2 linked regions of the Xenopus tropicalis genome follow. The main gene of each other region encodes a partner of the protein of the gene in region 2 in a complex. Links are inferred from orthologs where the notes say so. Each region holds a gene or a part of one and is shown on either strand. Other genes may lie near its edges.

The links.
Region 1: eif3d (region 2) and eif3e share a complex: the UniProt entries of both Homo sapiens proteins name them as parts of the eukaryotic translation initiation factor 3 (eIF-3) complex. The link is inferred for Xenopus tropicalis from reciprocal best matches to the Homo sapiens genes EIF3D and EIF3E.

What each region holds. Positions count from the first base shown.
Region 1 is NC_030682.2:133,675,287-133,679,113, reverse strand, and holds part of eif3e (eukaryotic translation initiation factor 3 subunit E), read left to right. Parts: intron 1-641; coding exon 642-768; intron 769-1,999; coding exon 2,000-2,101; intron 2,102-3,606; coding exon 3,607-3,716; intron 3,717-3,827. UniProt on the Homo sapiens protein: Component of the eukaryotic translation initiation factor 3 (eIF-3) complex, which is required for several steps in the initiation of protein synthesis.
Region 2 is NC_030680.2:123,536,039-123,539,865, reverse strand, and holds part of eif3d (eukaryotic translation initiation factor 3 subunit D), read right to left. Parts: intron 3,760-3,827; coding exon 3,638-3,759; intron 2,668-3,637; coding exon 2,535-2,667; intron 2,442-2,534; coding exon 2,294-2,441; intron 1,212-2,293; coding exon 1,081-1,211; intron 1-1,080. UniProt on the Homo sapiens protein: mRNA cap-binding component of the eukaryotic translation initiation factor 3 (eIF-3) complex, a complex required for several steps in the initiation of protein synthesis of a specialized repertoire of mRNAs.

The sequences.
Region 1 (3,827 bases), on a different chromosome or scaffold from region 2:
CCTCAATGTCACTCGAATGGCTATTGTTTGGGTCACAAAGTACCATTGACAACTAGCAGCATTGTTTTGTCTTTCCAGTTGGTATGAATATGTGTCTCAAATTTACAGGTGGATAAGTTGACCCCTTCCCCTCCTCTTTATTTCACACACCCTCCATGATCTTCCTCTTAAAGGAAAAGTATACCCCAGAATAAATACTTAACCAACAGATTCTTTAATAGGTCACTTAACATAATATAAACAATCTTGCCACACTGGAATACATATATCAGTAAATATTGCCCTTTTACATCCTTTTCCTTGAGCTGCCATTTTGTGATGGGCTGTGTGCTCCCTCAGTGATCAGCTGACAGGAAGTGATGCAGCTCTAACTGTAACAGGAAGTAGTGTGGAAGCAAAAGGCAGGACTCTGCCCATTCATTGGCTGATGGGGCCTAAAATGGCAGTTTTCTATATAGGATTACCCAATAGCACATACTGCTAAAAACTACATTTTTTATGAAAATGGTTTATTTAGATGTTTATGTAATATATTTGTATAAAGACCTATACTGTTTGGGGATATAGTTTTCCTTTAAAAGAAAACTATACCCTTCTAGCAACATGGAGCTTTTTTAAATGTTTGATGTTTTCAATTTTAGATACCTGAATGCCATTCAGACTATGTGTCCGCACATTCTCCGATATCTGACGACTGCCGTGATCACCAACAAAGATGTGAGGAAACGAAGACAAGTCTTAAAAGATTTGGTTAAGGTCATCCAACAGGTAGGCATAGAATAACATTTTCCCACCTTGTACAAATGGTCTATAACGGAATAATTATATTTCTACATGTAGTTGATTGGTAACACTTCAGTGTGTTTGTTTCACACTAAGTACACGTATTTTTAGGTCTTAGTAATGTTATTTCTGCTTATGAAAAAAACTTTTAGGAAGCTGACGAAACAGTATCTGCTGAAGGTTTTGCTAGTGCCCCAGCTATAATTTGCTTATTGACTAGTGGCAAATTGCATATAGCTGTAACTTGCCTATAAAACATTGTTTCATTAAGCAACACTGCAGCCAGCATCCCTGCACTTGTGGGATATAGGCAGGTATATGAGACACAACAAAAACCTTTGCAGTTGTTGCTTGAAACGTGGGTAGTGTAAATCACCAATTTGTGTTTAGATCTAATGTAATATATATATAATATAATATAATACATGGCTGTGTCTCCTTTCCCAGGCTGTGCAGGGGAGCCACTGGCACTCAGCACACTGCACTGTAGAAAAGGGACCAATCAACTGCTAGACTGACCTGAAGCCTGTCTTTGCTTGTGTGACTGATGGGCTGTGATTGGCTATCCCTCTCCTACTGTGCTTCTGGCAGGGGCAATTAGGACACGCCCACTCCACATTTGAAACAGACAGGGGCCAGTGAGGCAGGGGTAGGGAACCTATGGCTCGGGAGCCAGATGTGACTCTTTTGATGGCTGCATCTGGCTCACTGCCAAATCTTTAATAAAAAATATAAGGAGGGCGTGGCCTGCACTCGGTGGATAGAAGACGTGTTCTAAGCCTTAGAACACGTCTTCTATCCGCCGAGCGCAGGCCACGCCCTCCTCTGCATCTCATCTGCATCCGGCATCCTTGGGACCCACCCTACCTTGCCCCGCAGAATCCGCGGCCAAACATATTGTATGGCTCTCACGGAATTACATTTTAAAATATGTGGTGTTTATGGCTCTCTCAGCCAGAAAGGTTCCCGACCCCTGGTCTATAGGGAGCTCCAATAAAGTGGTATTTTTTTAATAGGAATTATTTTATATAACCATTATTGCCTACAACGTTGGAGGGACGTTTAGTTATCCTGTATGTCTCCTTTAAAATGCCTGAATTGCATGCCTTCGTGTTCTAGAGAAAAGTTTAGATGCTGTAAATCCATTTAAAATTTTACACAACGGAATGGTGGGTGTAAATGTTGTTCATAATGCCTTCACTTTTTTTTAATACAGGAATCCTACACTTACAAAGACCCGATTACTGAGTTTGTGGAATGCTTATATGTCAACTTTGACTTTGATGGAGCACAGAAAAAGTTAAGAGAATGCGAATCGGTGAGTAAATTGCCTATTGCAGTGTATAAATTGCTGTGTTGAATATGTGTATATAGTGCTTATGCAGGATGTCCCCCCAAGGCTGAGCCCAATACCGTATTATAGTGGCGTGGTTTATTGTATTCTCTTATCCTGTATTCAGACTGCCAGTCAAGAAAAGGCAGTGGTACTTTTGTGTGATGCTAGTGGTGATTGAATCAGTAGGGCAGTACAACACCCCCTCTTTGTAATTATTTGTTACTGAAATGATCTGACTTCATGTTCTATGGCTAGCTTTAGATCCTAGTATGACAAAGTAGGGATAGGGAGATATCCACAATGGTAGGAGTTATTACAGAAACCTGACAGAAGAGTACTGTAGAGCCTGAGACCTTAGTTCACTCTCAAGATAATTAGAACCGTAAACCTCAATATGTTATTCAAGATTTGGGGCTTTTTTATTCAATTACTCAGAGGAGAGCTTTATCTGAAAGTTTCATGACCCAGTTAACAGTGAACCACACCATTTGAAGTGATGATAGGATGGATCTGATATTAATTAGAACAACTGATAATGATGGTGACAGAGCTTGAAAGGAAATACGTTTGTGGTGTGTTTGTGCCTCATGTTGTGCAGGTACATAAGGAATGCAGCTGCATATGCTTTGGTGCAATTAAGCTGGACTTATTAAACATTGTAATGGCTTTAATGATGTTGTGTACTGAGTCATAAAAATGGACGTAGTGATTTGTGCCCTTAGTCATGTAATGGGGGTTATGACTGTTTTAGACCTGTGCAGATATGGGATGTATTCGACAGAATGCTTGGAACCTTGGATCTTCCGGAGCAGTTTGGAGCTCTGTGCCTGGAGGCTACCTAAAACCCAATAGGACTGTTTTGCCGTAAACACAATGCAGCTTTGTTAAAATCATTTATAAGGTTATATAAAGTACAGTCTTATTACAGAAATGGTCAAGAATGAAGATTTATTAAATAGGAGACACTGGGTATTGGCATTATCATTTGTTGTAGTTTTCTGTATAGCATGGCCTGTTCTTAACAACTTTTTATTTGGTCTTCACTTTTTATACTTTTTCAATTATTTGCCTTCCTCTACTGACTCTTTCCAGCTTTCAAATGGGAGGTCACTGACCCCAGAAACCAAAAACAAACCTGTTGCTCCGTGAGGCTACTACTTTGTTATTTTTAATTTGTATTACTTATCTTTCTATTTAGGCCCCTCTCTATCGATATTCCAGTCTCTTTCAAACCACTGCTTAGTCAGGCAGTTAAATTGAACCCTAGCAATCAGACAGCTGCTGACATTCCAAACTAGAGAGCTGCTAATTAATTCAAAAACCACAAATAATAAAAATGAAGAACAATTGAAAATTGAATGATCCAGGGTGGCGCTTGTCAACCATGCTGCATCACCCTTGTCAGAAGGGTTTCCTTCTCCTTCAAACCTTACACTTGCTCACTATTACACTCATAATAAACATTGTATTTTTCTCCCTCTTATTAGGTGCTGGTAAATGACTTCTTCCTTGTGGCCTGCCTAGAAGACTTCATTGAAAATGCCAGACTCTTTATATTTGAGACTTTCTGTCGCATCCATCAGTGTATAAGCATCAGGTAAATGTTTCTCTATATTGATATACCCACTCTAAGGTAGCATGGCTTTACATCATCCTAGGAGTCTGTGGGAGGACTTTGTACTAATGGATTGTATAAATAGAAGCAAAC
Region 2 (3,827 bases):
TTGTGAGATGCTGCAAAAAAAAAAAAAAAAAGTGTAGAAAAGAGGGCCAAACGAATGCCAGAGCTGATATTTGGTTCCTGAAGGCCCATGAAGTACTCCAGACCTGGTCCTAACCTTGGCACTTAGAAAAAACTGAGCTGTACTGTAGGATATGGCTTGAGAAGGAGGAGCCATTTTTGTTCCTTAACAGTAACACCAAAATATGAAAGTGTTTTAAAGTAATTAAAATATAATGTACTGTGGCCCTGCACTGGTAAAACTGGTGTATTTGCTACAGAAACGCTCCTATAGTTTATATAAATAAGCTGCTGTGTAGCCATGGGGGCAGCCATTCAAGCTGGAAAAAAGGAGAAAAGGCACAGGCTACATAGCAGATAACAGATAAACTCTGTAGAATACAATGGCATTTTATCTGTTATCTGCTAAGTAACCTGTGCCTTTTCTCATTCGAATGGCTGCCCCCATGGCTACACAGCAGCTTTGCTTATATAAACTATAATAGTCTTTCTGAGGCAAACACACCAGTTATACAGTGCAGGGTAACAGTGCATTATATTGTAATTACTTTAATACGCTTTCATATTTTGATGTTACTGTTCCTTTAATGTCCTGCCTCATACAGGTGGAAGCTATACCTACAGTCCCTATGTCCCCCAAAGCTATAGTGAGAGTAACTGGGTCCAAAAAAGCACCATTATAAATTCTCACATACATATGAGACACACTTGGCACCCAAATTCCCAACATAATAATACACCCTAGTACAGCCTGCCTATTGAGTGATACCAACTATTTCCAGCCAACTAACTACAAGTAGATTTAATCATACTATGAACAAGAGAACATTATGGGTAGCATATAAAACATAGGTGCTCAGTGACACCAGTGCATTTGCTCATACAGCCAATCAGATGTATGCTTTCATTTTCTGCTAACTATTAAAAGTAAATTGCAGACTGCTTGCCATGGGCCTTTGCTGTTAAGAAATTTTATCGCCAATGTTAGTAACTGAGGCTTCACTGTCTATAGGCTTCTATATGCCTATATTCTATATGAGGCTTCTATAGTCAAAGCACTCACCATGCGAAGGCATTGCTGGGAGAAATTGTGGTTGATGTAAGTGGCCTCCATGGCCAGATTCCGTGGGGAGTTTAAGGAGTTCACGTCATCCTGAGGGGGCTCATTGGCAGTTTCGCTCACGGTGAGCAAATCTAGAGAAGGACATAAAAATTAAGCAGCGTGCCAAGAAAAACACAAGAGAACTAAACACACAAAATCATGTACAGAAGCACTTTTCATTGCATGCCAATCAAATCATGGCTTTTATATCTATACAATCTAATCAAGACAGTATTACATAAGTAGAGTAGGAAAAGGAGTTTTAGGGCTATAAATAGTGCACACAGGGCATTTTTCATGCCACTATTTATCCTGGCTCACTTCCAACAAAATATCCAACGGATCAGGCCACAGCCAATAAGTTTAATTTCACTTAATTAACAACTGTAGTTACAAGTGCCTCTTACCTTTGTGTACAAAGTGAAGCAACTTGTGCTAATCCCTAACTTTGCCTTTTTAACGTTATCTTTCCACAAGAAAAGTTACCTTGATCAGCCCCATTTTCCATTTGCATAAGTCCATATCAGAGATTTAGACTTTACTAAGATAAACTATGTAATTTGTTATCTGTCTATGGAAACAACTGCAATATAACATTATGTTAAGGTTGCAGTTGTTTGTGCATTTTACACAGTCATTCAATATGTATCACTATATAGAACACTAATGGACCTAGGTGGAGCAGGCGGCAAACTATATTTAAGGGTGTCAGGTTACACATCTAGACCACCAGGTTCAGCCATTTGCTGTAAAATATTTGAACACAGAACATTCTCAGACAATACTAATCTACAGGCTACCTTAAGCCCAATAATAGTGAAGTTAAAAAAGATATTCTATCTATAAAGCTTACTGCATTTGTGACACAGCAACCCTAAGGCTGTGAGGATACACAAGTTTGAATCTGCCCTCTAGGGCTTTACCTATCTCATAATGGCCATGGCGACAGTGCACAAGGAGCTCTGGGCTTCTGGAGGGCTTGCTAGCCATTCTCCAGTACTGATCAGTATGCTCAGTGATGTGATTATATAAAGCTAACAAGGGGAAGCTTCAGAGGCATGCATCTGGACTCTCAGCTCCCCTTCGTACCTCCAAGCTACTATATTAGGGTTTGAGGCTTTGGTTGCTACAGAGCTCACAAAGCTTAGACTGGTGCCACCTTTTGCCTACTCACCAAAGTCTGAGTTGTCTCTCTTGTCAAAGAAGATCTTCGACCCCACCCTTTGGACCACAATGTCCCAAGAATTGACTGAACGTGTGCAACACATAAGCGTGGCAAGTATAGCATCAGTAGCAAAGACATTGCCCTGAGTTTTAGCCAACTATGGAGAAAGAATACAAGAAAAGTTATTAGGTGTCAATACATCACAAGGTTTAATTTGTAGAAAAAAAGTCCAAGCAAAATGGTACCTCACCTTCCGAATAACAGGATCATCAGTGGTAGTCACTGTGTGAAATATTCTTTTAATACTCTTCAAAGGTCTCTCATTTCTGGTGGTAATGCGATCGAATGCTTTGTCATAGAATTCCAAGGCCCCACAGCACTCTCTGGCATGAGGAATGAGAAGATTTAAAATACTTGCCTAGATACATTATTTCCAAGAAATAATTAGCATTTTATGTAGGTTAGCATGCAATATTAATATTGCATTTAGGCCGCCGCCTACAGAGCAGCACGATGGTGAAACTGACACAGTTCTTGTGAGTTCTGTATATAATGCCTCAGCACAGAAACCTTCTGAAACTGCCTACAAAAGTACAATAAATAAGGAAATTAATGTGGCTTTGCATTATTAAAGAAACACTAACACCAATATGAAAGCACTTTAAAGTAATTAAAACGTAACGCACTGTTGCGCTGCACTGGTAACACTGATCTGTTTCCTTTAGAAACGCTACTACAGTTTATATACACACTCTGCTATGTAGCCATGGGGGCAGCCATTCAAGCTGGGAATAAAAGGAGAAAAGGTGCAGGTTACATGGTAGAAACCAGATAAAACACCTTTTTTTTTACGTATTTTACAGGGCTTATCTGCTACATCACCTGTGCCTTCTCCTTTCTCCAGCTTGAAAGGCTGCCCCCATGGATACACAGCAGGGTATTTATATAAACTACAGTAGGGTTTTTTAAGCAAACACACAACTTTTACCAGTGCAGGGCAACAGTACATTCTTTTTTTTTTTCATTACTTTGATACATTTTCATTTCTTGGTGTTACTGTTCCTTTAAAGTGGAAGACATAAGAATACATTTTAGTATCTAGGTTCTTAAAAGAAATATGAGCAAAGGGTGGGCGTGGAATCCGTATTCTAGTCAATGGCCCTAACAAGCAGAAACGATTTCACTTCGAAAAATGAAAACCCAATTAATACAAATCCAGCAAAAAAGATAAGTTGCAAAGCTGCTTAGGATACTGCCATCTAAAAGACACTACAATTAAAATAAAATTCCCTGTTAATGACAGGTTTGTTGAAAGAAAAGTGAGGCAAGGAATAAATCACAGTCATCACTCACATGTCTAATGGATCAGACACCTCCATGTATCGCATTTTCATCAGCCGTGGGAAGTCCATCTCCTCCTTTACCTCCCAGTCACTCCGCACCTCTACAGAGGAATCACGAGGTTTCAACTGGGCCTGCAAAAAAGGAATACGCTATGTGAAGCATACAAAGGTAACTAAAAGCCCCTAAGAGAAAACAAGCA